Diceros bicornis minor: one gene and its partners. The protein of the gene in region 3 interacts with the protein of the main gene of each other region in a pairwise test. Links are inferred from orthologs where the notes say so. Each region holds a gene or a part of one and is shown on either strand. Other genes may lie near its edges.

What was found.
Region 1: the proteins of MGAT5B (region 3) and HOXA1 interact in a two-hybrid assay, tested with the Homo sapiens proteins (2 studies listed by BioGRID). The two-hybrid records come from large-scale screens. The link is inferred for Diceros bicornis minor from reciprocal best matches to the Homo sapiens genes MGAT5B and HOXA1.
Region 2: the proteins of MGAT5B (region 3) and keratin-associated protein 26-1 interact in a two-hybrid assay, tested with the Homo sapiens proteins (3 studies listed by BioGRID and IntAct). The two-hybrid records come from large-scale screens. The link is inferred for Diceros bicornis minor from reciprocal best matches to the Homo sapiens genes MGAT5B and KRTAP26-1.
Region 4: the proteins of MGAT5B (region 3) and DMRT3 interact in a two-hybrid assay, tested with the Homo sapiens proteins (2 studies listed by BioGRID). The two-hybrid records come from large-scale screens. The link is inferred for Diceros bicornis minor from reciprocal best matches to the Homo sapiens genes MGAT5B and DMRT3.

Annotation. Positions count from the first base shown.
Region 1 is NC_080742.1:51,929,143-51,936,706, forward strand, and holds HOXA1 (homeobox protein Hox-A1), read right to left. Parts: upstream 3,020-7,564; 5' UTR 2,729-3,019; coding exon 2,077-2,728; intron 1,597-2,076; coding exon 1,241-1,596; 3' UTR 62-1,240; downstream 1-61. Other genes in the region: HOXA2 (homeobox protein Hox-A2), read right to left, coding at 7,473-7,564. UniProt on the Homo sapiens protein: Sequence-specific transcription factor. Regulates multiple developmental processes including brainstem, inner and outer ear, abducens nerve and cardiovascular development and morphogenesis as well as cognition and behavior.
Region 2 is NC_080766.1:31,087,028-31,093,249, forward strand, and holds keratin-associated protein 26-1, read right to left. Parts: upstream 1,289-6,222; 5' UTR 1,222-1,288; coding exon 646-1,221; 3' UTR 509-645; downstream 1-508. UniProt on the Homo sapiens protein: In the hair cortex, hair keratin intermediate filaments are embedded in an interfilamentous matrix, consisting of hair keratin-associated proteins (KRTAP), which are essential for the formation of a rigid and resistant hair shaft through their extensive disulfide bond cross-linking with abundant cysteine residues of hair keratins.
Region 3 is NC_080757.1:57,054,323-57,061,760, reverse strand, and holds the start of MGAT5B (alpha-1,6-mannosylglycoprotein 6-beta-N-acetylglucosaminyltransferase B), read right to left. Parts: upstream 3,013-7,438; 5' UTR 2,502-3,012; coding exon 2,434-2,501; intron 1-2,433. UniProt on the Homo sapiens protein: Glycosyltransferase that acts on alpha-linked mannose of N-glycans and O-mannosyl glycans.
Region 4 is NC_080761.1:25,499,207-25,506,147, forward strand, and holds the start of DMRT3 (doublesex- and mab-3-related transcription factor 3), read left to right. Parts: upstream 1-3,922; coding exon 3,923-4,373; intron 4,374-6,941. UniProt on the Homo sapiens protein: Probable transcription factor that plays a role in configuring the spinal circuits controlling stride in vertebrates.

The DNA of each region.
Region 1 (7,564 bases), on a different chromosome or scaffold from region 3:
TGAACCAACTTTGTAGGAACCAACAGATTATAACTAAGCCAAACAGATGCTTAAACATATCTGAAACTTGAATATATTTATTACAGACATCTTAAGACCCGTAAACTCTGCTCTGGATCACATCACTCCAGGATCTCAGAGCTGTTCATGATTGTACAGGAAATGGGGAATATCATAGACTCACAAAGAATAACTGATAGAACTCAGTGTGGTACTTTAGGGACATCAAAACATTGTGCGACATGCAAAAGACTATTCACGAATCACACAAAATATACATTCATTGTGCCATCCATCACATTAACAACTGAGCTGAAAATAAATCATATCCAGCTAAGATAACTGTGGAAGGAAGAAGCTGATTTGAAGAATACTTTTAGGTTCCCAATAATCCAGCACAAATTTTAAATAGAGTGTGGCCAGAGAAACCAGAAAGGGTGGGGATGAAGAGAGACAGCACAGGAAGCAAGGTTTCTGAACCTTGTGTTCTGCAGGCCTTCTGAACTCACTGAAAGAAGAAATTGAGACTATCCTCGGAGGCATCTGATTGAGTTTAAATGAGGGCTTTAATTGTTTAACCTATAATCACATCTAAAATTGTACCAGCTTTGAGAGTTTGCCCCACCCTGTTTTAGTTGCTTAATCTAAACGTTTCTAGAAAATCTGTATAAAGATAAATCTCTCAGGACAAAGTATTTACAACCAGCAAACTCACACACATGAAACAATTAAATTAAGAGATGAATTAATTGTGTAAACATGATCATAGTGCATCTCTTCTTCGTGAGCTCCTGGAATCTCTCCTCTCTCTCCATCCTACTTTAAGGGCAAAGTAGGGGAGAACTGTAAATATACAGATAGATAAAAGATGAGAGGCCTTCCTCTGACATGTTTCTGCTGGCAAAGAAGACTATTTTCCAAAGGGCATCTGAAAGGAACAGTAAGTTCTGTGGAAATCTCCCAAAAGTAGGGAGGGGTATTAAGGACCACCAGAAAATTGATGCTGGCACCCAATCTGCATTAAGGAGTTAACGCCCCACCATCACCACCACCACCAATTGAACCTTTAGTCTAGAATTCTCTGGAAACACATTATTCTAGCCAGGAGCTCCCCAGATAGGATCAGAAAGGAAGAGAGAGGCTGTAAATGGAAAGGAAGATAAGCTAAGAATGTGCTTTGGGTAAGAAGTCGCAGCCGGAGGAGTAGCCTGGGCTGTGGAGTCTGGGGCTGGGGGCGGCCTCAGTGGGAGGTAGTCAGAGTGTCTGAGGTAGAAGACGCTGGGGAAGGAACGCAGGGCGAGGAGCTGGACTTCTCTGAGGATTCCTCGGCCTTCTCCTCGCTTCCCGGCGGGGTGGCCGGAGAGATGGGCAAGAGGCCCTCCTTCTCTCGTTTCTTCTGCTTCATTCGGCGGTTCTGGAACCAGATCTTCACTTGGGTCTCATTAAGCTGTAGGGACGCGGCAATCTCCACCCTGCGGGCGCGCGTCAGGTACTTGTTGAAGTGGAACTCCTTCTCCAGCTCCGTGAGCTGCTTCGTGGTGAAGTTGGTGCGCACCGCGTTGGGTTGACCGACGTAGCCGTACTCTCCAACTTTCCCTGGGGGCAGGGTGGGAAGTGATGAAAGAGAAAAAGATAAAATTTTTACAATCGATATGAAATCCCCTACACTCTTCAGAGCAACATTCAGGTAAAGGCGAGATCAAGAATTTCTCCACAAACCGGGCTGGGGAGAGTGAGTGATGAGGTGTAAAGTGTTAATCTGAAGTCAGCCATTAGCGTGGTCAGACCGGTGATTAATGGAGCCTGGAGATATTAACAGAACCCCCCCCCCCACACACACACACAGACCTACCCACTTCCTACTCCCAGAACCTCTAAAAGTCAGCCTCTTTGGAAACACAACAGTCCCAGATGCTCCTTTGCCCCAACACACCTGGGCAATGTGCCCATGCCCTACAACACCGGTAGGAAGCAAGAACTTTTTTAAAAAAAGCCGTTATTAATTTTACTTGGAAACTAAGCATACCAGCTCCTTCCAGAATCATCAAGAAGCATCCACAGAATGGCAAGACTGACCTGTTTTGGGAGGGTTTCTTTTGACTTTCATCCAGTCAAAGGTCTGCGCTGGAGAAGACGTCTCTGATGCAGGGGAGCGACAGGCTTCTTGGTGGCTGGCGTGGAGAGGGGACAAGGAGTTATTATACGTGGCCAGGGCCAAGCTCTGATGCTCTTGTCCATATGAGTGGTGAATATACTGAGGCGAGCCCACCGCGCCCCCGGCATAACCCTGGTGGTGGTGGTGATGCTGGACCATGGGAGATGAGAGATTTCCAGAGTAAACAGCGGGAGCGCACGAGGGGTACCCACCACTTACTTCTGCTTCCTGATTTAACGGGTAGGGGCTGTAAGGCGCGCCGAAGTTCTGCGCGCCGTAGCTTGGACCACAACTCGAGTGGGAGTACGACACCCCCAGGTTCCCGGGAGTCTGGTAGGTGGCCGGCTGGGGGTGGTGATGGTGGTGGTGATGGTGGTGGTGGGGCGGGCTGATCTGCACCCCCCTGCCCACTAGGAAGCGGTCGTCGCCGCCACAGCTGTTGGCACTGACTGCACACGACTGGAAAGTTGTAATTCCATGGTCGGAGGGGTAGGCTCGCGCTGAGCAGGTCCCCGAGTCGCCACCGCTGAGGATGGGGTATTCCAGGAAGGAGCTCATTCTTGCATTGTCCATCTGTCACTGAGTGACCGGGTCCTGTGAAGCCCTGGTTGACCGTGCCAACTTTCTCACTTCCTCCATGGGGCCGGAGAAGAAAAATGATATGAATGTACAGTGCGCCAGAGGGGGGGCGGGAGGGCGGAGGGCGCTTGGGGAGGGGCACGTGACTAAATAAACCAATGGCGGAGCCTCCTGCGAAAGTTTGCTGGCTCGCGCGGTGATGGATCACCGTTTCAGTGGCATTTAAATCCCCGGCGCTCCTCAGTCTGGGTGACGCGCAGTCGCCCCCCCAGGCAGCCCAGGCGGCGGCAGCAGCTGCGGTGGCTGCAAGGGCAGATTCGGAGCGCTGGGGTGAAGGGGAACAGAGGCTGCCTTCTGCGCGCGCCGACGCCGCTCGCCCCCCCCACCTCCAGGAGGTGGGGGCCTGGAGGCATCCCCCGTCTCCGCCTCCCTCCCCACCATGCAAAGAAAGATGAACTGGCAAGAGGTGAGAAGACAAGAGGGCTCCGTTCTCTCTTGGGTCGGGAATCAGTGGGCCGGAGCTCGCTTGGCGGCCTCCAGCACACAGGCTGAGCCCGGAGGCGCGCCGAGCTGGAAGGGCAGGTCCCCGGGCGCTTTCACTGCACAGTTCCTGCTGTGGTGCCGTGGGGCAGTGAGGAGCGCACGAGGCTGGGCCACCAGCTCTCCAACCTCTGAACGGAGAGGGAAGTGCGCAGAGAGCTGGCTGGGAGGAACCTGGGTGGGCGTGGAGGGGACGAGGGCAAGAAAAGAAACTTCCCTTCTCCGCGGAGGGTCTCCGAAGCTCCCCCCACTCCGACGCACACACACTGGCTATTAACATGGCAATAAGGAGTTTCTGTAATTCGACGCCCGGGAACGGGTGAGCCCTAGGAGCTACGCTTGCCGGAAAAGGCCGCGGGTGGCCCGGCTCTTTGCCCTCCCTCTCTCCTCGCTCTCCGCCCCTTTCTCCTCCCCACTCAGCTTTGGTCCGGGAGCCCTACGAGATCTGGAGATACTCGGACACTGGATTTTGAGGGGTAGGAGGCGGGGGAGAGAGATGACGCTAGCGGACGTGGCCAGCGTGGGGGCCGGGCCGTGCGCTGCAGGCCATCTGCCGGCTCCCCAGGATCCAGGAGCCTGAGCGCTGCTCCGGTGGGGGCCTCAAGGGGTGAGACCACAGCTCCAACAAAGTACGCTGAACTCCCCCGCAACGTTTCGCCTTTTCTGGGGGAGGATATTAGGAGTGGTAGAGCTTCCTTTATCCATCCACACCCCATTCTACTGCACGTCTGAAGTGGGAGTGGGGGCTGGCAGGTGGGAGGGGCGGTAGACAGATGGCTGATGGTGAACCGGACGTTTTCTTCTCCCCCAACACCACCTCCTCCCCTTTGTAACCGACTGTGTAGTTGCTTGAGTGAACCTTCAAGTCTTTCCCCAGAGAGACACGTGCAAATCTCAGCGTCATCCCAGGCCAGGGGTCCTGTTTTCCATCACTCTCATCCTACCCTGATGCTGATGGGGTCGTTAATTGCTGTTTACTATTAGGTTTCGTGTCAACCCTTGGCTTGTAGAGAGAAAAGGCCAAACAGAGGCCGAGAATTGATGCATTCTTAGGTAAAAGAAATGCAGAGATCATCCAAGAAGCTTTGCAGCTAAGGCTGTATAGATTTTTCTCTGACCATGTTTACCCCATGGGAATCTGACAGATGAAATGTACCTGAGGATTGTATGTGGATTTGGGGTTCCCACTCCCCTCTAGTTTTCCCTCCCCAGTTAGAAGAAGGAAGTTTTGCTTGAGGCAGGCACATCCTTAATGTTAGTCAACTTTTCAGGATTCTGCGTTCTGTTCTCCACATAGAGAAGTTCCCCCCAAACCTGTCCCCGCAAGAGGGACATTTGCTGACAAACTCTTGCAAACATTTGACTATGGATTCCCTCAGTAGCAGAGAAACATTCTCCCTAAACATTTCCTTTTGAAATGGTATTTTCCTGTGACCTTTGACCCATCCCCAATCTTGGTTAAGAGGGAGCAGAGGCGGGAAAGGTCACTCCTGCCCCAATTTCTGCACCTGGGGAACCTCATCTTAGAGAAGGGAAAAGGCAAGGCAAGGCAGCCCTCCTGGAGGCGGCTTCCTTGGGAGAGCCAGTCCTCTAGCGACGGGGAGAGAAGGCGCTCCTGTGGGGGAGGAGGCAGGACGTGAGGGGCTGGCACTGCGGACAATATGCTCTCCGAGCCGAAGCTTGTCGGTACGTTCTTCCCCGCTTGCCTCATTCCTGTCCTTTTGTTGGCCTCCTCGGCCCAGGTTTGCGCGACCCCCTCGGCCACAGGGCTCACGCCACAAAGCCGCCCCGGGCCTCCACCGCTCTCCTTCCTCTGCTAGTTCTCGGCCTCTGCGCGCCTCTCCCTCCACCTCTCTTCCTCCCTCCAGGCCTCTTTTCTGGGCCAGGGTGGGTGGGCTGTTTTTCTTGAGATCACAAGCTTGCAGTCGCACACAGGCCCGCAGACACACGGGTCGGCGACCGACCCGCCTCCCAGCACTGCCTCCCGCTCCCTGCAGGCCGGGCTCTCGCGGCTGAGCCGGCTCCGCCCCGGCTGGCCGCCCAGAGCGCTGCTTTCCCGGTGCCGCTCACAAAGGCAGCCTCCTCTGGCCTCGAGCCCGCAGGCTTCCGTACCTCGATTCCTTCCCCACCCCCACGAAATCCAGGGGCTCATTCCCCCGCGTAGGAGACCCTTGGTCCTGTGGACAAGTAGGCCGGGGCCCCACGACTCGAGCTGAAGTGTCTTTAAACGCCACCGGAGAGTGGGTGAATAGGCGAGCTTGGTCCCTATTTAAATGATCGCCTGCAAGCGGCTTGCTGGGCTCAAAGCGCCTCTTTCAGGGCTATTCTACTAGAAAGGGAAGGAGCGAGGAGGAGACAAAACGCCGCCGAGGCCCGGAGCTGTTCATGGCATCCGCGGCTCAGCCAAGCTGTTGTTTTAAAAGAGCAATAAAAATGAATTATGACTAAACGCCTTCTAACTTAATGCTTTCGGACGGGGATCCCCGGCAAATACGTAAGAGGATTTTTATTTGTGCATGTGTTCCTGCAATTGATCTCTTTGATGACATTCTCATTCATGGAAAGCGTTTGATTTATGAGCGTAGGACGAATCGCAAACGGCAGCGGCTCAGCCCCGGCCGCGGCCGGGCCGCCCTGCTTCGCTCAGCGCTTAGGGCAGGAGACCTGCCGGGGTCCTCACATGCCTCCGCCGCTGCGGGGATTTAGGGGGCAAAGAGGTGGGGAAAGGTAGGGAGCAAACCCACGGAGAAAGACCGCGATTTCCTTGTAACTTCCAAGCCTTTGCTATTAAGAGCCGGGTTCTTAAATCAACCCGCCCCCACACATGTTGCTTACACGCTGCGTTTTCTCACGGTAAGTAAGGAGCCATCAGAACAGCTCAGTACGGAGAAAAATAAACATGGGGAGACTTAGAAGGGAGAAAAAAAAAAACAGAACAACCCAGTAACATACCCTAGATCACATTTTATTGATATTTCATTTAAAGTGCTTTTTCTCTTTCTCTTTCTAGAAACTGGATTAATTTATAACCTAGGGTGCAGAAACACTCCATTTGAAATCTCAACTTACTAACTTGACTTCAAAGCTTTCATGATCCATTATTTGCCATGTAAACAGATTTAAGAATGAAATATTGATTTTATGACCCTGAAAAAACGAATCCTAGAATGACTGAACCAGAGAATTGGAAAGAACCCTTTCTGAAATGTATTTTCCAGCTAGTAACCATTGTTTTGTTTTATTTTTGTTTTTCTCTTTTAGGTCTGTTTGCCTGGACCCATCAACAGCTGGGAGACTAATCCACCACACTGAAAATGTGCGGGATATGTGGGGGAGGGGGTTGGAATATAGATGTTTGAAACAAATGTGTATAAATAAATGAATTGTTGATAACTTATTATGTTATTGACTGGAGACTGGTAGCTTGTTAAAGAAACTCCATGTTCCTCCAACCTGGAATTGGGGGTTTCTGTAGGCACTTTATTTCTCCACTTTCAGAAGCTTGGGCTTGGCCCAACTCGGAGGCTGCCCAGTCCTGTTTCTATTACCAGTTTAAATCTATGGCTTGAACCTCTACACTAAAAAACCAAATCCATTCCCTTAAAAAAAAATGCAAAACATTTCTCAGAAGCCCTAACCATTTTCTGGCTTTCTTTTTTGTTGCTATTTATTGATGACTTTAAACATGCTCCTTTAATAAATATATTAAAATTGAAAAAGATGAATCGTGACCAGAATTTTATTTACCAAGTTAGACTAAACGAAGAAAAAGAAAACATTATGAGCCTTGAGAAAGAGGGGGAGAAAAAAATAAGAAAGCTACTTATAGCAAAGGAGAATTTATTCTACCAAAAAATACGCATGACAATGCATCCTAATGTAATACAAAAATAAAAAGAAAGTGAAGATACAATTATATGATCACTTTCTTGCAGGCCTCATATATTGCTTTCAGGAAATCACATAGAGGGTTGTTGGATGAGATTTAAAACAACTAAAACTCCAAAATAATCTGTAAAAGATGGCTCTGAAACTGGGTCAGGGGAATCACTAAACAGAAAATCGTCAACATTTAAAGGAGGGAGAGGGTAGGCTGGGAAGAAAATAAAAGAAAAATCAACTCTCAGAATAAAAGAAGGCAAAACCACCTGGTCAAAGGGGTTTTTGTTTTGTGATGCTTTGTTTTGCTTTAATGTTTTTAGTAATTCAGATGCTGCAAGTCAATTGTGGTGAGTGTGTCTGTAAAAAAGTCAAAGCTGTCAGCTGAAATATCTACAGGACTGTCGAGGG
Region 2 (6,222 bases), on a different chromosome or scaffold from region 3:
AGCTGATGTCATGGTAAGGGGTTTGTTTTTTTTATTTTGTGGGAAAAGATCATAGGAAGCCATCAAACGCTTAAGCAGGCCTGAAATATGGCTCAGTTTGTGATTAGAAAGGACATTCTGGTGGAAGTATGTTCACTGGAAGACAGAGATAAGGAGATCATTCCTAATCTCGCCTTTTCAAAATAACTTCCACCAAGAACATTTGGGGTCTCTCAAGTACGTAGGAGGCGAGATCTAGAAAGCAGCTCAAAGAATAAGCCATCAAGCCATACCCCTATTGTCAGATAAGAACATATGTTTGAGTGTCCCAAGTCCTAGTTACTTATTTTGCAAGAAGTTGAGGTTGGTCATTTCTCCGTTAAAATGAAGAAATAAAAGACAAATTGAAGAACCAGAATCTTAATTCTGATTTGATCTCATTTATTACAGCATAAACCAAAGAAATTCTTCCCACACCCAAGCAATATGAATAACATTGTAAACCAAATAATTTGATGTCAGAGAGAGATGAAAAAAAGAGTTAAAAATGTGAAAAGAGCAGCTTGCATTAGATCAGGCACAGTAAAACCAAGAAAATGCAGTCACTACTAGGAAAGAAGCAAAAGTCCATGGAGTTGGAATTTTTGCCTTGGATCTTCAGCATGATTATAAACTGGAACAAGGAGGGTACTGGCCTCCCAGTGGAGAGCAAGATGGATGACAAGTGCTGAACACATGGGTCAGAGGTCGGTATCCAATGGAGAGAGGATGCAGAGGTCTGAGGCAGCTGGACACGACGCTAAGGGGTTGAGGACCACAGGGCAAACAACCCAAGGGGCGGCATCCGTAAGGGAGGAGGCGCAGGGGTCGGCAGCTGCTGGACACATACCTCGGAGGTCTACAAGATGCTGGGAGGTAGGAGCTAGAGACGTAAGAAGCAGCCGGAAGAAAAGTGGTTCCTTGGCAGGGTCCGGACACGTAGTAAGCAGTGGAGGGGCAGTGAGAAGTTTCCAAGTTGCTGGGCTCACAGTTGGCTGGCTGGCAGCTGGTTGGTTCACTGCAGGTCTCTTGACAGTTGTCCAGGAGCCAGGTGTGGTCTTGATGGCTGCTGGGCAAGCAGAGGACATCTCCAGAGCTCACATTTGTAGAGCAGAGGGAAATGGAGGAGGTGAGAGGAATATGACACAGATTTCTGAGGGATCCCAAGCTGTCGCTTCCAGAGCAGTAGTTGTGGCAAGACATGGTGAGGTGCCGAGAGCAGGCTGGGGTTGATTGGAAAGAAGCGAGTGTCTCAAGTTTCGCTGTGCCCCTCGTTTGGCTTGATCCCTTATATATCCCTGGAAGGTGATGATCGTGTATACAGACTCTCTTCTTCCTTGTTGTGTGAGGCTGCCTCAGAACTCTTCATTATAGCCCGGAAGTGGTGCTCCCACCTCTCATAAAACTGGATGTTCCTGGCAAGGCCTTCCATCATTTCTACAGAGCAGAGTGACTGAATTTTAATAGGATCTCTCCTTCTTAAATTATCCAACCCAAACAGATACTTTTGAAGGTCATTCACGTATTCCAATTATAACCACCTCTGCCTAAACATTCTTAGAATGCCTCTCTTGGATTTGTCTTCAAAAGTTGTAGAATACTTCTTTGAAACAATGACAAGTTAGCTCTCTTTGAGAGGAAATTCTATTCTTTTAGGAAATTGTCGAAAAAAGAAACTTAAAAGCAAGTATGTTGTAAAAGAATGTAAAAAATCCTATAACCTATATGGTTTGGGGCAGAAAGAGTTTAAAAGTAGTACAAAATGGAAAATGTCAATGCACCCAAATTTGTACTTTGTTTTATTGTTGAATCCTGGTAGAAAGTGACTTCCCACCAAAATATCTTCATTTTAGAAAATCAAGCCCATTTTCTTCATTTCAATAAATAAATAAACTGAGTCAAACTGAAAGCTTATTTGATGTTTAAAGTATTCTTAATACAGATAAATACATTGGGCTCAGTTAAAATTATACATCCTTCTGTGACAAAAGCAAATAAAACCACTTAAAGAAAGTTGAACAAATGACATTTTTCATAGTTATTATAGGCTATGTATTTCATGGTTACTCACGTCCCAACTGAAAACTACTATTCTTGGGAAAAAAAGGGACATAATGATTAAGACGTGGACGTGGATGTGGTTCTGCTTCTTCCATTGGTTCTCATATCAATTTCCAGAGAGGAGTTTCTAAACTGCTTTACATGAGCAATAGCATCAGAATAAATGTAAAGTTTTCCTAAGTATGAGTACTTGGAAGGTAATTTGGGGATATATTTTCTGGTAAAAACTGGTTTAGAAAACATGGTTGCATTTAGCCTCAATCTTCTCACTGTGTTTTTCATCTACCAACATATCTAGTGGCTCCAATGGCTATTTTAATGGAAATTTTAATTATCTGCTGGATCTGATTTCCAATGCCCTTTAGCTAGAAATTCAACGGAAATCACAGCACTTTCTTCTATTTTAATGTTTAACGAAAACGCCCACATGGATTGAGTCTCCCTCTGTCCAGGAGCAGAATCTTTGAAATAGAAGATTGGTTTCTCTACAAGCCAATATAGAACTATTTTACTACCAAGGATAGAAATATGAAAAGAACGTGATACAGTCTCTGAGGGCCTGTACTGACAGGATGAAATTATCTCAGTATTTTAGGTCAGGGAACAATACCCTTTGATGATTTGTACCTGATGTGTTTGAGGAGTCCCCCCAACCCCAATCCCCACTTCCCCAGCTTTGTCACCTGGTACTCTTGGTACACATTGCTTGAGTCTTCTTGTGATATCCTGGAGGCCTCAGCTAAATGGCGTTAGTAATAGGTACAGCTATATTTAACTGAATGCTTATCAGATTTATATGTTGATGTTCCTTGTGCCTGCTCTTCTCTAACATAAGCAAGAGCCCAATACCTGCATCATTAGTACATCAATATATTTGTGTGTGTGTGTGTATTGTTTATGTTATGTATTCATTATGTATAATGAATGTTTTTCCATGAAGAGAAGGGATGTAGAATATGAGGAAACTGATCTTCATTTAGCGTCTACTCTGGGCAACACCTTGCAGTGCGGGTACCCACATGTGCAATGTCATTTTATCCTCACAACTCTTTACAGTAAATTTTACTATTTCAAGTATTCATGAGAAAACTTGAGATGAAGAAATTTACAGTAATTGAAATGAAGAAAAATATTTGAACAAAAGGGTTTCAAACATTTGAACATTTGCTTGGGGGTCCTTAACCCGCAAACAGTTTTTTGTCCCATTATCTGATATGACATTATATAGAGATATGTTGATACCATCATTTACTAACTATGTGCCCCTGGGCAATTTTCATAATTACTCTGATCCCCAGTCCCTATCAGTATTATTTTATGGAACAATGGGTATATTAGTAATGTCTAGTATCATTTTTAGGATACATTGAGATATAAGAAAAAGTTAAATGTGTACTGCAAAACACTATACCAGAATAATTTATTTTCTTGCTTTGGCATCCTTAATCCATTCTAAAGAGTACCACCTTGGGTTTAATTCCTTTAGAGCGCCCTACAAGACTTGCATTTTTTTGTTGTTGTGGGTGGGTAACACAGCAAAAATATCCATGGAATTTCAGAAAATAGAGTGCCCTGAATGTAAGTTGTACCTTAACATAACAAATGTTGAACTGATGTTATTTGATAGTGACCGAGTCACTAAAAGGGAAGAGCTCATGTAGGCATAACAGCAGGTACGTCATTAGCAGGCTCCTATAAACTACAGGTTTCAAGCTCTTCTGATGTAAGAGCTAGAGGTAGACTAAAGAACTGGGCATCCTGTGTGCTCCTCCAGATTTACCCACTTTGTTACTGTTTCTTCAATGAATTATGGGTCCTTACCTGTCTTACTGTAGAGAAGCAATCCTGAATTTCTCTCTCTTAGACGTAAAGAATCCTCAGAGCATTGCAACAATAAAGGTATGTCAATAAATGACATACCTTGCATTCATTCGTTCAACAAATATTTGTTGAGCATCTTGTATATGCAAAACATTATGATAGATGCTTGCAATAATACCAAGATACCATTGATTTCTGCTGCCAGACACATCCAATCTTGTATATATGATAAGACAAGTACACAATTCATGTCAGTGCTTACTAAGTTCTATAAATGGTGTACAGAAAAGAGCAAATGTTGCTCATTGGCTTCACCTAAAATTGGCATTTGATATTGATTTTGAAGGATAAGAGAAAATGGTAGAGGGTTTGGGAAAGACAAAGACACTTCAGGCTGTAGCAAAAGGTATAAAGGCAGAAAAAATGACGACAGTGCTTTCAGTGAAGGGTTCTTAGACGCAAGTTGTAGTAACTAAACCTAGATTCACACGCTGAATCTAATCCAATCATCAAGGAAGTAGTTAAGATTTTGTTCTATAGGTGTGGTGATCCAATAACTGATTTCAAGAAGAGAGTGCTGTGATTAAATTGCAGCATAGATTGGACAGAGTGAAAATTTGTTGTAAGGCTTTTCTTCCTTGATCACTAAAATTATGTCTTTTCATCCATTTTCCCTTTTCTGTTATCACTGCCATCATTCAAGTTGGATTTTGTTCCCCTTTGGTGAACAAATACATTTCTCACTGCCATCTTGCCTCCTATTGTCTTCTCTTTAGCTTGAATACTGCATTTAGATTAATACTTCTAGAATTAATTTTATCGTATGACTCTCTTACTCAAAAATGTTGATAACTCCCCTTTGTCCACAGAGAATTGTCCAAACACTTGATTAGCCCTCCTCTGCTTCCCAATAGAGATTCTCTTCTCTTTTTGGGTTGTCTGTTCGTGTCTCCAATTACTCCACATCCATCCTCATTTTACATCATCTCCTCATTCATCCTATTCTTCCTCTCCTTTGGAATAATTCTTTCATTTTAACTATCATTCAAACCTCAGCTAAATTAGCCCCTTCTTTGTAAATACATTCCTACCAATCTAAATCTCTCCAGCTTTAAATTTGTATATTTATCATTACCTATTTCACACACACACACACTCCTTTGCTTTGCAAGCAAAATGTTCTTTCTCTATGTGTCTTATTTCCTGATTATATTACAGAACTCTTATTAGCTACTGTTTACAGAATCCTTATTATGTACTAGACACGGTTCTATGTATTTTACATGTATTAATTGATTTAATCCTCACAGCATCCCTATTTGAGTAGGCGTGATCATTATTCTCAATACATGTGAGGAAACTTAGTCGATCCTTAGTAAATATTTGATGACTAATATCATGGCATTCACAAAATATAACTTAGGTTTTCTTTATCAAATAAAAATTGACCTTTACTTAGTCAAGTCAAGAATCTCTTTTATATACTTTTCTCACCATTTTTGCATTTTTACCAGGGAAGGTCAACTTTCAAGGAATATAAAAGAACAGGAAGATAGAAAGAGGTTCAGGGGGACTGAAGACACTTTGTCAAGTTTTTCTGCTGCCCATTCTAATATCACTGATTAATATTCATCGTAGCTTGGCTTAGAGAAGACAACCAATTATCTGGAGTCAGTGCATTGCAACCTACAACATAATGAAGTGGCCTAATTTTAGCACCCCCTGTTGGATGCCATGCATAAAATCTTAAATTATAGTCAGCTGGAAGAATTAAGTAATTCCCTGATCAGCAATGTAGAGTTTATGTAACTGATAAGGCTATCAGGTGGTAATCTACATTCAACTGAATTTTTATTATATTATAACATTCTTGAGTGTGAAAATTATGGTTTATACATGATTTGAACAAAATTTTCTCCACTCATTCCCACTTCATTCATACACAAGAACTTTCCCCAGATGATGTTAGGAAACTGTTTTGTATTAATTAACACATCCTTTTATACCTGTATTAAAGACAGGTAGGTGGAGGTATTCCTTCCATTATTCATAGGTAAGACTGAATTCTGTCCCTTTCACTTTTACAAGGTCTCTTTCAACTTCCTGCTTTTGCCTGTATATCTTATCATCTTTATTGATATAATTGGCATATAATAAACTGAACATATTTGAAGAGTACAATTTGATAAGTTTTGACATCTGTATATACCAAGACTCAAGATAATAATTATGTTCATTATCCCCCATAATCTCCTAATGCCCCTTTGTAGTGCTTCTTTTCCACCCCTTTCCACCTCACCCACCCCTACCCTTGTCCTCGGA
Region 3 (7,438 bases):
AGCACAACAAAATTTCCAACCCACATTTAAAGGAAGCTGCTAAAAATTAAATCAGAGAGGGGGCAGAGCCGAGAAGCAGTGAGGGCACTGGGAGCTTCCCCCAGGAGATGACAGGGAGGACAGGAGAGATGGCACCGAAGGACCCCTCACTGAATTCCACCAACCCCAGGGGTGGGCTCAGGCCCTGGGATTCCTAAGATGAAGTCAGGCTGGTCTCAGGACAGCAGCCAGAGGGACAGTGCAGGAGGAGGGGGGTTGCACACACAGGAAGATCCTGGGGGAATCAGCTGCTTGTCCTCCCAGCCTGAGGACAAGGACGAACCCCTCAACTTTCTTGTCCCTCACTCCCCCACCCCCTTCCCAGCTATGGGGCTGTACTTAGAGCTGGGGATCTGGGCTGCCAGGGTCCAAAGAGGTGCTATGAGAAAAGCATCTAAACCTTTAGCCCAGAACCTGAAGCCCCCAACACACCTCAACTGCATCTCTCTCTGCCAGACCCCAATCCTATGGCCATTTACAGTAGACCCGAGTTAAAATGGTTTCATCCACCCATGCATCCGTTCAAGCAATGTTCCAGGAGCAGCTAGACAATAAGATCCCTGCCAGAGGCTCTGGGAACCAGAGGGAATAGGGACCTTGAGGATTAACAAACAGCGGTGATGTGGTTGGAGGCCACCTCCGCCCACCTGAACGGGATATGAAAACTCCACTGGTGGCTGTGGGTCTCTGGGCAGCCTACGGAGACCCTGAGGTTACATAATTTGTGGGGAGGGAACCTATGCTATCCCACCTCAGAATCCTGCCATCAGCTAAGAGCCACTGGCAGGACCCCAGAGGGAAGCCATGCAGGGGAGCCAGCGCTGTCCGTGGTGCTGGCATCCCGCTGCCTTCGATTGCGCCTAGAAATGTCCAGACAAAGCTGGGGTCAGCGGCTGGGCTTCCCGCGGCCTTAGAGGGCTGGGCCGACATTGGGTGGGAAAGATGGGGCAAGGACTCTTCCAACAGTCCGGGTCAGGCCAGGGATTCAAGGATTTCCCTGGAGGAGCCAGGCCCTTTCCAGAGATGCCCACTTCCCGCCCTGCTTCCCATGGGAACTTTACGTCAAGGGCTCCTGACAGCCCCCAATCACCTGCCAAACGCCCTACCCTCGGGACCCCCAGCTCTGCGATCCTCCTGCATCCTCTGGGCAGCGGTGGCCCAGCATGACCTCTGCGGTCCTGGCAGCTGTCTCCTCAAGGCCTCACAACAGGCCCGGCCCATCCGGAGACCAAAGCCATGTGAGCCATGGTCTCCCGCCCCCGTCGGAGCCCAGAGGGAGTCCAGCCGGGGCCTGGGAGGGGCAAGGGCTCTGGCCGTAGGGCTAGAGGGAAAGGGCTCAAAGGTGGCTTCTCCCACAGCCCAAGCCTCGGTAGTCTCGCCTGACCAGTTCCTGCCCTCGTGGGCTCCGTCCCGAGCCCGGACCCCACCTGTGGCCGGGTCCACAGTGCGGCCCCCACCGAGGCCCCGCGCCCTGCGCCGCCCAGCCCCGGGCGAGATGGCACTCTGACTCCGCTGGGCACCCATCGCCTAGCGCCCCCTCCCCAGCCCCGACTGCAGGCTGGGCTCCGCGGGCTCTTGGGAGGGAGGGAGCTGCCCTGGAACCACCGGGCTCTGGAGGCCCCTGGGGTGGGACCAGCAGAGCTCGGTCAGCCCCGCACGGCCAGAGACCTGCCTGGCCTGGCCGCGCGGGGGGGGGGGGGATCGGTCTTCGCCTCCATCCTGCCTCCACGCTCCCGCCGTGGTCCCGGCTCACGCGCCCTTCCGCCCCCCGCAGCGCCGCCGCTGCCCCCGCCTCTCCACTGCCCGCGATCGGAAGCCAGATCCCCAGCAGAGGGTGTCCTTGCCCCAATCTCAGGGACCCTCCCGTTGAAGGCAAGCCCGCACCCCGCCACGAGATGGGGAGTGCGCGCCAAAGGCGGGGGAAAAGGGGGCGGCACAGGCGGAGGGAGCGGGCTGGCCGACCGATGGCTCGACGGCCCGCGGGGTGGGGGTGCAGCCCGGCACGCGCCCTAACTTCGCCGCTGGGGTGGGGTGGTCCGCGAGGTGGGGAAAGACCCCGAGGGTCAGGGAAGGAGCGCCCTGGCTGGGGCAACTTCCCGGGCCCAGGACCACAACCTGAGCGCTCTCTGCCCCCGTTCCCACCGTCGCACCCCGAGTCCTCTCCAACCTACACCAACTCGAGACACGTCCCAGAATTACACACCCTCCCCACCTGAACCCGAACCCCAGCCCCAGTCCTTTCCCCAACCCCACTGGCCCTGACCAAGGGGTGAAGCACGAACTGCCCCCTCTGCTACCCGGACAGATGCCCTCGCGAAGACCGACCTCGCCCACCCCTACGTGCGCCCCCTCGGAGAAAGAGACCTCCCCGAGCCAACCGGGAGAGAACTTTACCGAAAGGGTCTCAGGGTGACCAGGCATCTTCTGACCATTATCTTCCCATCGGGGTTCACTGTGATCATTGTTCAAACTTGTCTGGGCGACGAGCCGCGGGCGAGGCCAGACGCACCGTCCCGGGCCCTGCTCCGCCGCGGGCCGAACCGGGTCCGAGCGAGGCGGGGGGCGCGGGGGCGCGGGGGCGCGGGGCTTCTCTGCTCGGGCCGCGGCCCGCGGGATCGGCTCGGCTTCGGCAGGCAGGCGAAGGGCGCGGCGCGGCTGCCGGAGGGCGGCGAGGGCGCCCGGCCGGGCCGTCTCTGCGTCTCCGCCCTCCCGCTTCACATTTTGGGGGCCGAGAGGCGGCGCGCCCCCAGACCGCCGGCCGCGCGTCTGCCTACTCGGGCTCGCTCGCTGGGCGGGACGGCGCCGCGGCGCGCAGACGGGCTCCCCGCCGCGGGCGCCCTCATCCCCGGGCCCGCGCCCTCGGTGCCGGCTACAGGCGGCCCCGGGCCCGCGCCCCGGCTCTCGGCGCCTCCGGGCCGCGCCGCTCCCTGGCCCGGCGCCGCGCCGCCCTCATGGTTCCCGGCGGGGGCGCCCTGCGCCCCCCCCTGCTGCCCGCTCGCTCGCTCGGCTGCCCGCGCTCGGTGTCCGGCGTCCGGCCCGCGCCGCGCTACACCTGGAGGCGCCGCATTGTTTCCTCGGAGGAGGCGGCCGAACCGCGGCTGGGGCGGCCCGGGAGCGGCCGCCGCGCTTCCTCGGCGCGCGGCGCCACCTCGTGGCCGCAGCCCAGCAGTGCGCCCTCCCGGCCCGGGGCGGGGCACCTGGGCGGGCTGGCGAAGGTCTCTGTGCCTCCCTCCAGCGGTGCAACTTCCCGGGGCCCTGCTTTCGGAAGCATCCTGGGTGCCACTAGCCCCTAGGGCCGAGGGCTGCTTCGGCTCCTGCAGAGCACAGAGGAGGTCAGTGCTAGGAGGAGACCCCCTCCCTTCCGCCCGGTGCCAGGGCCCTCCCGCGGACCGCTGCCTCTGCAACCATTGTGGGCTTCTGCACTGGTCGCTTCACACTCCCTCTGATTTCGCTTTGCAAGCCTCACCATCCTCTGGCCTCTCTGGTCAGAAACCGCCGCGGCTCCCTTTTGCTTACTGATCTGAGTTCAAACTCGGCCTGTGGCGCTCAGGCTCTTCCGCTGAGCCCAGAAGCAGGGGCCTGTGGTCCTGGGTTCTAGTCTGGGATCCTCCATGAACCGGCGGGGGTGCCTGCAAGTCAGGGGAGTCTCCTGGCCTCAGTTTTTCTACTATGAGATGAGAGTGCCCAGACTCTCTATAACGCGTTTATGTGCCCCCACCTCCCTCCCCGTTTTGACTTTGGAGATGTGTTTTCCATTGCAGAGACGGTTAGGGATCCTGCACGCACACCGAGGCAGCGCAGCTCCCAGAGCCAGGCCTGGATTTGAGGACAGCGCTGAGGCAGGAGTAGCACTTTTGGAGACGAGACCTTGGCCAGGAGCAGACATGGAAGCCCCTGGCTAGGAAGAGCCCAAGCCCTCAGACCACGTGTAAAATGACATGGATGACCCTGAGGGTCTTTCCATCCCAGGCAGTGACGCTGCAGCCTGGTTTTGGAGAAGAGAAAACCTTTATTCCCCTCCTCTTGCCCTGGCCCTGTCCAACCAGCACCCCTCCCATCCCCTTTGCTGCCTGCGCAGCCCACCTCCCAGCCCCTCTTCTGAGCCATTTCTCACCAGCAGTGACTCATGCTCCTCCTTTTCCTGCTCCTTTTTCATCAAAATTCACCTGTCCCGTGTTCCATTATCTCATCGCTTTGCTCTCTGCTAATGTGAAAACCGATGATGAATTGGTGTTGACGGATTAATGTGTTGCTCCAGCTAGGTAACAAATTTGCAGTGAACAAGGACGTGCTGACTGTGCCTTCGTGCAGAAGAGTGACGAATTGTGGCAGGAAATGTGGGCATCACGGCAGGTTGGCCAAGGAGATATCTGAGGGCAGAGACCTCTGCTGGGCCTCTGAATCACACCTTGTGCCTGGGTGCCTACATCAGCCACACACTCAGGCAATAATTTAAGTCCTGGGTGTCAAGGCGAAAGCCGTAGCTACAATAAGGAATGAAACGGCCCTTCCGATTGTGTGTGTCTCTCACACAAGCTCAGAGGGTCGAATTTACACCTGGTTGGTATTTTAGGCCAAAGGGGAGGGGAGTAGATGGAGTCTCCTCAAAAGGCATGGCTGTGTCTGCTGTGCTCTGGGAAGGTGGCCTTCCCTCAGCCAGAAGCCAGAATTCAGAAGGTGGGACAGGGTACTCCCCACGCCCTCTGGGTCTTGCCCTCTTGGATATAGGCTTTGAGATGCTCAGGGGGAGAGCACCGCTGCCATTGGATGGCAGGCCCGGGCTGGGCAGGGAGGTGTGGGGCAAACTGCGAAAGAAACTGTCTGAGCCAGACCACCCAGCTGTCTCTTCCTTTCAGAGTCTGTTTCCCTCTTGTCAGCCACTCATCTGCAGGAAAGTTCAGTGTAAATGGTCCTGCTTGCTCTCTGTTGTGCTGCAGACATTAGGAGAACACTTGTGAATCCGCATCCCATGTACCCTTGGGTACCACCTCTCTGCCTCAGTTTCCTTGGTTGTAAATCAGGCCATTTACAACCTGCCTCATAAGGTGGTTATGAGAATTGAGCCTGTCGATGCCTGTAAACAGCCCACTGCCTGGCATCTGTGAACCCTCGCAGCATGTGGTTATGCTTTTTCCTGTCACTGTTCGCCCATAGCAGACGCCCTGTTCCCTGGGCACATACCTCTACACGCCAAAAGGCGGATTACTGAGAAGACATGCGACACTGCCTGAGGCTTTTCTTCTGGCTGTGGGAATATGCTCGAACATGCAGGGGCAAGACAGAAGCGCCAAGGAATTGGTGCCCCGGAAGCAGCCTTCATGGAATGGATAGTTACCCAGGTGGGATACTCTGGCATGTTCCACACCAGCTCCCAGAGTTCCCCAGCGAGACTGAGCTGCAGCTGCCCGCGGTGGTACCCAGCTCTGTAATGCACCTCGTGCTGGCTTCCTTCTCTTCCCTGCCCCATTCCCCACTCCTCCGCCCGTGTTCCCGGGGTCACCTCCCAAATACACTGCGGGTACTTGAATCCTTGCCTCAGAATCCACTTCCGGGGAGCCCAAACAAGACCCTGCCCTACAGGCCAGTGTTTCTCAGCCCTGACTCGCAGCAGAATTACCTGCAGAATGTAACAAAACAGAGTCCTTGTTCTGATTCAGTACCTCAGTTGGGGCCTGGGCACATTTGTTGTTTAACGCCACAGATTATGCCAACATAACTGGCCAGCGTTGAGACCCACTGTTCTAGATAAATACCCCTGGCCTTCTGATATGGAAGCAGAGTCACCCTCAGCAAGCTAGAGGAGAATAGGGGAGCAGGAATTGGGGGCACTTCTGCAGGAGGGCACATCCAGGGATTGATGATGTCAGGTCATACAGATTCCAAACCCCTTCCCTTTCCACTGGTTTTCTCTTTTGAGGCTGTAAGCAGATCCACAGGCTAGCCCAACCTGGGGGTCAGGGGGCAAACTCTGCATCAGCCTGGCACTCTAAATTTGGCATGTCCTGGCTCTCTCCGCTCCCCTCCAGATGGACCTGCTGGCCTGGCCAGAGGGGTCAGGAGAAGCCCAGAGCCAGCAGGAGGCCCTGGCCATGCAGAGGAGGCCCTCTGTCCAAAAAGGGGGAGCCGGATCCAGGGAAGGGATTTGGGAGAAGTGGGTGATGTACCACTATTTAGGAGTGTCCTACTCAAAATACCTAGAGGGTGGGCCAGGCAAAGAAGGGAAGGGGGCTATCTTAGTTTCCTAGAATTGCTGTAACAAATTACCACATACTGGGGGGCTTAAAACAACATAAATTTAGTTTCTCACAGTTCCAGAGGCCAAAAGTCCAAGATTAAGGTATGGGCAGAGTTGGTTCCTTCTAGAGGCTCTGAGGGAGAATTTGTCCCATGCCTCTCTGCTGGCTTCTGGTGTTGCCAGCAATCTTTGGCATTGCTTGGCTTGTAAATACATCACTCCAGTCTCTGCCTCTGTCTTCACATGGCCTTCTTCTCTGTTTGTCTATCTTTCTCCCCTCCTCTTCTTATAAGGACACTAGTTATTGGATTAAGGCCCACTAATCTAGAATGACTTCATCTTAACTAATTACATTGCAAAGATCCTATTTCCAAATAAGGTCACTTTCTGAGGTTCAGGCAGACATGAATTTGGGGGGGACACTGTTCAACCTGCTACAGGGACCTAGTGGAAAAGGGCCAGCGTAGTTAGAGACTGTTGAGGACAAGAGGTCTCTCGGGGGCACAAGCCACCATTGTTTTGTGTGAATGCGGTCCCAGTTATTTCAAGGGAGTCAAAAATCTGGGCTTCTCATGTGAAGTTGCATAATTTAAAAATGTAGACTCAGTATTTTTAGAACATTGTGCAAGACCAATAAAATCCATTGAAGGTCTGCTGTCTGGGTCCCCTGTGGGTGTCACCGGAGGGCAGAGCAGGGAGCCTGCCAACCCTGCCCACCCAGCAAGTCCAGCTTCCCCGAGGCCAGCTCCCCCAGTAGACACCTCACTGCCCCCAGAGAAAAGTCAGTGCTCCTAGATGCTCTCCTTGCCCCCTCGCTGCCCCCCCTGGAGCCTCCCTGGGCATCAGAGCCTTGACTGCCGCCTCCACCTTCTCAAGGCATCAAGGTTGCTCTGGGGCTCACAGACGGGGCCTGGGGTAGGAAGAGGAAAGAAAGAGACAAGCGGTTTACAGTGTTTGAAATCCCCACTTAATGTGCTCCGACTGGGGCAGCAGATAGCACGTTAAGAGGCAATAGGCCGTTGTCCCTTGCTGGAGTGCGGAGTACTCCAGTAAACAGCATTTACTGACACTGTGCACAAATCATCAACAGCCTCACTGGGCGGGGACAAGCAGCCCCACACAGACGCCAACCACCTCGAGTCGCTGGGGGAGGCCAAGAAGCGG
Region 4 (6,941 bases), on a different chromosome or scaffold from region 3:
GGCGGGGTTGCAGGCCGTTCTGCCCTCCCCTTTGCTCCAAAAGGCCTTGGCCTCTGAGGATCCTCAGGCTGCCCACTGCCAACATGGTGTGGGGGACATGGCCGTCTAGGACCTTCCTTCTGCTCAGCGGCGTCCCCCGGGCCCGCCTGATGCAGCTTCAGTCACCCCGGCCGCACGTGGTCTCTGCCCTCCGCTCCGCGCCCCAGAGGGCCTCTTCAGGGATGCCTTGGGGGGTGCACACGAATTTCTCCCCAGTTAATTGAGGGAGAACAAGGGCATTGCTGTCACCTCAAAAAAGCGATTGCTGGTTGCCCCACCGCCTCAAAGATATTTGTTCCCCCCTTTCCATCTGAAGCTGGTCGAAGAGCGCTGCCGAGAGGCACGGACAGGGTGACAGCTGAGAAGTCCCTGCGCGAGGAGAGGGGTCTCGTTTTCCTGCATTTAAAGTGTTTTCTGCACGCCCCGGCCTCCAGCGTCACCGTAGTCTCGATTAAAACGGCAAAATAGGAACCCTGACCTTCAGCTCCATGAGAATGCAGCAACGCAGAAAATTTCCTGATACAGTATACATCCGGGACAAGATGAAACTGTCGTTTTGATTAAGCGTTGCTTGCGGTGAGGAGCAGCTACCAGGACTGCCAGATGTGGAGGCAGAACATCCTCCGTTTCTCAGCGAGGGCACCTGCATTCTCAGCTTTTAGATGTACACGCACCGTGAGATTGTGTGTGCGCCGAGCGAGAGAACCACATACGCACATTATCTTTCACCCTTTCGCTGTTAATACCTGTCACAATTCTACCCGGTTAATTGTGGTTTGAAAACACACACACACATACACACACACACACACTCCCCACCCAGAGCAGAACGCGAGTGGATCCAGTCTAGTGAGGTTACATTGACTTGTAATCCTCCCCCCTCCCTTTCCAATGTCTTGGATGATTTTTCCCATAAGTGTGTAAGCCGCCGGGACTTAGCAGAAGTGGGCCGCTCCTCCTAAATGTGATTCGGACCATATGCTTTCTACATTCATTCCCGCTCCGGCTTTTCTTCTCCGCACTAACTGCTAACACGTTATAGTCACCTTGAAATTTCCTCTGCTATTTTCCAATTAAAAGCTTAATAGCCCTGGAAACGGAGTTCATGTGGTGAAGTTTACCATAGCCCCTTGTTCTGAAAGGCTTTCTGCTGGGATCCCATTATGTGCTTGAATAAACCCTTTCTGCAAACAGAAATGGGACTCCGGGTTGTCAGGTGTTGGGTTACAATAGACTTTGAGGCAGGGGACATTTTACCAACATAAATACAAACCTGTCCCTATAGGGAGATGTTGTCAAATACTGGGATATGGAAAACATTCCCATCAAATATGAGAAAAGGATTATTGCGCTATATCAAACGAGTATTTAGATCTCAGCCCCCGATGTGCACTGAAGTGAAACAGGGCCCTGGGACCAAATAATGCCAGACTGTTTGAGTGGCAAAGGGATAGGGTGGCTAGGTGACCGAGAGGGGAAAGGGGTTGTCTTGGAAGTGGGAATACCCCCCAAACCTCTGCTTTCCTTTAAAATTCTTTACTCCCAAGTTCCTTATACTCCCGGGTTTCCTTGACCATTTGGAGAAAATCGGGAGAAATTTGGCTTTGAAAAAAGTCCATGTTCCTCACGTTCCCAAGCGACCCGGAGATTTCAGTGGGGAAGTTCTCAGATTCAGTGTCATTCTAGGCCCTGTACGTCTCATCACGTGAAGCGACTTGCTGCCCCACTTCTTGGCCTCTGGCTCACCGGGCTGCGGGTGACCTCTGCCTCCAGTCCCGAGAGGTTATCAAGTTCCTTCTCGTTGTAGTGTTTTAGGGCTTTTCTTCCTAGCGAAACTTAGGAAGAGAGGAGATATTGAAGCGGTGGTGGGGTGGGGGGTTTAAGGGGCAAGACCCCAGGGGTCCCTGCCCGACGCAGCTTCGAGAGGAGGCCTCCCAGGGTTATCGCTCTCGTGCAAGAGTTTCCTGCAAAGGCCCCACCAGGTCAGCCTCCAGCGATCCCCAACTCCCGGACAGGTCTGAAACTGGGGACGGCTAAGGGCTTCAAAGGAAACACACACAACCGTGTTCCCTTTTTAAACCTCTTCCCCTCTCAGAATCCCTCTTCCAGGCGGAGGGTTGGCTAGAAGAACGCCTGGCTGTGCTTTTACTCGAATTCACAGCACAGAGACATTTTCGGATTGCTTGTTTCCAGGCAGTGCAGAGAAAAGTGGCCTCTGCGAGGGTACAAGGGGCGAGGTGCAGCCTAACGGTTGGCCACTGCAGTGGACTCATCTATGCTCTCATCTCGCATTCGATTCGCTCAGACCGCCAAGAGATGAGCTCAGTTTCTGCTCTCAGAAGCCTGCGGACCGACGGCTCCGGGATTGCCATCTCCACGGCTTCGCACTGAGGCATTGTGCTACCCTGCGCCGCTGTATCCACCTGTTTTTAGTTTTCGTTTTTTGATTTGGGGGTCCCTGTGCATGTGTAGCGGCAGTCTGCATTAGGCCAAACCGGTACTCGTAGGAGATTAAAAACACGCAAATAACAGTTTAAACAAAGTTTTATGCTATCCAAAGACGCTGGGAGGAGTGGGGGAGGAAGTGGCCCCATCCTTTATCCATAACTAAATCACTGAGTCCGTGGGGATTTGAATTGGGTGACGAGAGGCCTCCGTTTGATGGTTCAGCGGCTACTGGGGCGAGGGGAGATCATATCCGGTAACTTTGGGGACGCTAACGTGGCTCCTTCGTCCACGCTGAAAGTTTAGACGCAGCACTTAAGCAAATCCTCCACACGAGCAGACAGAGGATTTCAGGACAGAGACTTGTTTTTATCAAAACGTGGGGAGGAGGGTAGAGAAACTCCGCGCCAGAGAAGGAGGGCTGTTTTTCCCTTTGAAATAGCCTGCAAAATGGGTTGTCATCCTTGGGCCAGCAGGTTTTCAACACTTTCTTCTACAGCAACAAGATAAAATATGTGTTGCAAAAGGAAATCAAGAGCGAGCCGAAATTTCCCGAACCAGTGCCCTACAACCAGTGGCCGTGCGTGGGGCCAGGCTCGCCCCAAATTAAGACCTTCTCGGCTCATGCCGGGTCCCGAGAGCACCCGCAACGCTCCAGTAGGCCCTGGCTCTCGCGAGCCGAGTTTCTTCGGCCAAACGTTGGGATAAAAGCGGCCTCGGGCTCGGTGCCGCCAAATTAGGCCTGCAGGGAGAAAAAGAGAGGGTAGGGGAGCGGCCGCCTCACTCGCCTACAGGCACCCCACCCTCACCCCCGCCAGTCCTCCCCTTCCCCGCCCCGTGCGCACCGCCGCATCCCGGCGCGCTGCAGTCCCTCCCGTCGCGGGCAGGGGAAACGCAGAGCGCTAGGAGGAGGGGGCCGTGAGCGCCCCCGCGAGAGTGGCCTGGCTGCAGGTGGCAAGGAAGGTGAAGTGCAGGGACTCGAGGGGCGCGAGGAAGGAGGAAGGCGTGGAGTAGGGTGGGGAGTGCAAGGAGACCAGGACCCCGGGGGTGGGGGTGGCGGTGGGAGGGCGGAGGAGTTGGGGGAGGGCGGTGGAGGAGGTGCTGGGCCCGGCCTGCGCGCGCGGGAGTTGCGGAAGAGCTGGCTCAGACCTTAACCCGAACTGTCGCCGGCTCTTTGCAGCCGCCGCAGCGCCGCGGCGAGGGAGGACGTGCGGGCCAAAGCAGCGGCTGGCGGAGACGCGACCGGCGTGGGATTGGCGGAGTACCAGCGGGACACTGAGGCTGCGAGCGCCGCGGGAGCCGTAAAGACGGCTGCCGCACCTCCGGCCATCCCGGAGCGCACGCGGCCGCCGGGGCTGCGGGACCAAGGACCCCGCCATCCAGCGCCCCCTGGCCTGCTCCCGCCGCCAGCCCGCAAGCTCTTCCGGGAGCTCGGGGCATGAACGGCTACGGCTCCCCCTACCTGTACATGGGCGGCCCGGTGTCGCAGCCGCCGCGGGCGCCCTTGCAGCGCACGCCCAAGTGCGCGCGCTGCCGCAACCACGGGGTGCTGTCCTGGCTCAAGGGCCACAAGCGCTACTGCCGCTTCAAGGACTGCACCTGCGAGAAGTGCATCCTCATCATCGAGCGGCAGCGGGTCATGGCGGCGCAGGTGGCGCTGCGCCGGCAGCAGGCTAACGAGAGCCTCGAGAGCCTCATTCCCGACTCGCTGCGCGCTCTGCCCGGACCCCCGCCGCCGGGGGACGCCGCCGCCGCCCCGCAGCCGCCGCCGAACTCGCAGCCGTCTCAGCCGCCGCCTCGTCCAGCTGCCGAGTTGGCTGCGGCCGCCGCGCTGCGCTGGGCTGCCGAGCCCGCGCCCGGGGCGCTGCAGGCACAGCTCGCCAAGCCAGGTAAGAGCGTCTGCGGGGCGGGAGCCCGGCCAGGCGCGTGGGCAAAAACTTCCGAGCTCCTGCTGAGGCTCTGCCTGGGAGGCCTGGGCGGGCCTTCCCCCACAATCCCCGCCAAGCCAGTTCTTACTATCTGGGCAGAAGCCGGCCTTCAGTCTGCCTACCGCGCGGGTAGCATCCAGGCGCCCGCGGGCGAGCCAAATGGCTGGATTCTGCGTCGGGATCGCCAAGTGCCTTGCCCAGGTTAAAGGTGAACGTGTCCGTTTCAGCGGTAAAGAGATCGAGACCGGACCCGGTTAAAATCCAAGCGGGCACACATACCACCGCGCGGCTGGGCTTTTCTGACTGCGGTCCTTAGAGGGCCTTGCATTTGGAGGTAGGGACGGGTAGGTGCAGGGAAGGAGGCAAGGCCCAAGGCTTGTCTGACTTTGAGTTGGGCGTGCTTCTCGGCCCGGGGGAACTAGAGCGAACCTGAAGCCTTTCTAGTAGCGCTCTGTGGTTTCCACTCTCTTGCAATAGCTGAAAGAAGCCCCATTGAGAAGCAATAGTAAATAAAGGGCCAGAAAGGCGCCTGAACGGATAGCGAGGACCCAGAATCTGGCGCGCCCAGAGTCAACTCCTTTTGCAGAACCGCTCAGGTCTTTTAACACTGTTCCTCAGGCTACCCTCATCTGTTTCTGTGGTTTAAAAAAATAAAACAAAACTTAACCGACAGTGAGGAAGGCCCCCTCTGGCAAGCCCTTTCCCCGTTCTAGGCGGGGAGATCTGCTAAGCTGCCAGTTTCGAGCAAAGGATCTCTGAGTCCTCTTCCTCTCTTCCCCTCTCATCTCCTCTGCTGTGCTTTAGAGAGAGTTTCCCCTGAGCCCTAGAGGTGGACAGATTCCCCCAACCCCCTGCTTCCATCTCCTTCCCTCCTCCAGGCCTCCTGAGCCTGCAGGCTAGCAGTTGAGTCTCTCTCCTCCTGGGGAATCTCTAGCTTGCTGTCCTGCCCAGCCCAAGTGCTCCTTTGATTTTAGGATCTTGGAATTCAATGGACATGTGTTTAGTGTTTTCCCTTCACTGGGGCAAATGTATAAAGGAAAAGAGGCAGTCCTCTTGGGGAGGGGATTAGAGGATATGCTGAAATTCGCAGAGGGAAGGCCTGGAAGGCCCAGAGTCCTGTGTAGGTGGAACTGTGGTAGAGCTTCTGCCTACCCCTCCACCCTCCAAAAGGACAGTACCTCTAGCTTCTGGAGAGAGGCTTCCAGGAGCATTGAGCTGCTGTGTGGAGCTGGGGAAGTGCAGGCTTATTGGTTGGGGAGGGAGTTGATAGGCAGCCTGGCAGGCATAGTTGTGCTGCCCTGTTGCTCAGTTATGCTCTCTAAGCCTGAAGCTCTGAGAACATCTTATGTGAAGAGCACAACTGGGTATTTTAAGGACGGAAGAGAGTTTGCTGAGCATGGATTTTGTGGCTATTTAATCCAAGGTAGGGTATAAGCATTTTTCTGAGTAATACCCCCCCCCATTGTGTCTTCAGTCTGATCACTTCTTATTTGTAGATTTGCCACAGAGGAATGGAGGGTAGCGTGTTTTGTTTTTCTCTTTTAGGTTAGAACAAGTAACTGGGAAAGTGTCTCAGTTCTGGAAGTTGATCTGTGCCAATAACTTCCCAACCTTTCTGTTTCCAGTTTCCCTGTCTCCATTTCTCCCAGCACCGGGGCAGGAGTCTGAGTTCATGTCAGTGGTAGCATTTTGCAGTGGCCACCTGCCCAGCAGCACCCCTGTAATAGGGCATTGGGTTCTGGGGTCCTTGTCCAAGAGGGGAATCTTCTCCCATCCTATGCTTTTCAAACCATTCTCTGGGATAGCCACGTTTGTGGTTTCTAAAGAGCCACAAAACCAACAACCCTGGGAGGCGACTTGTGAGGGCAGGAAGAAAAACCCAGTAGCAGCTGCAGCAGCAGCAGGATACATAGTTTGGGAAAATAAAAGAGGGAGACTGATTTCAACTGGACAAACCAGACCTGGTGCTCTCTCTCACTCGCACCAAGTATTCAGGGATAGCCTGAGTCCTCCAAACTGAAAACAAGTGATTGCAAAGGAGACTAGGATTTATCACAGGGAGGGGTCAGAGCGATGTCTCAGGGAGATTGAGCCATCAGGGGCCAGCGGCTCAGTTTCCACCTGGTCATGCTGCATACCTTGCACATTCATTTATAACTTTCGTTTTCTTTTTTAAATTGGTTTGACCCCATAATCTCGTTCTTTAAAAAAAAAAAAAAAGGCAGCCAATCATCAGTCTGATGAGGAGGTCAAGAAAAGAAGATAATTGTTTTCCACTAGGAAGGCAAGCACACAAGTGGATCATTTCTGTGCAATGCTTTGTAAAAAGGCCCATTTGGGGTTTAAGTTAGAGAAAAGTGCCTGGGTGAGACTACCTGTTGCTGTAGGTATTAGACCTTTTTTTGCAGTTGTTCTTATAATGTATTTGTATGTAACATACCATACATATTTAGAAGTATACCAGAAACTCCTGGATAAGTAGCTCACTACAGGTAGAGAACTAAGTGAAGCTCTATTCAAATAGTAGGT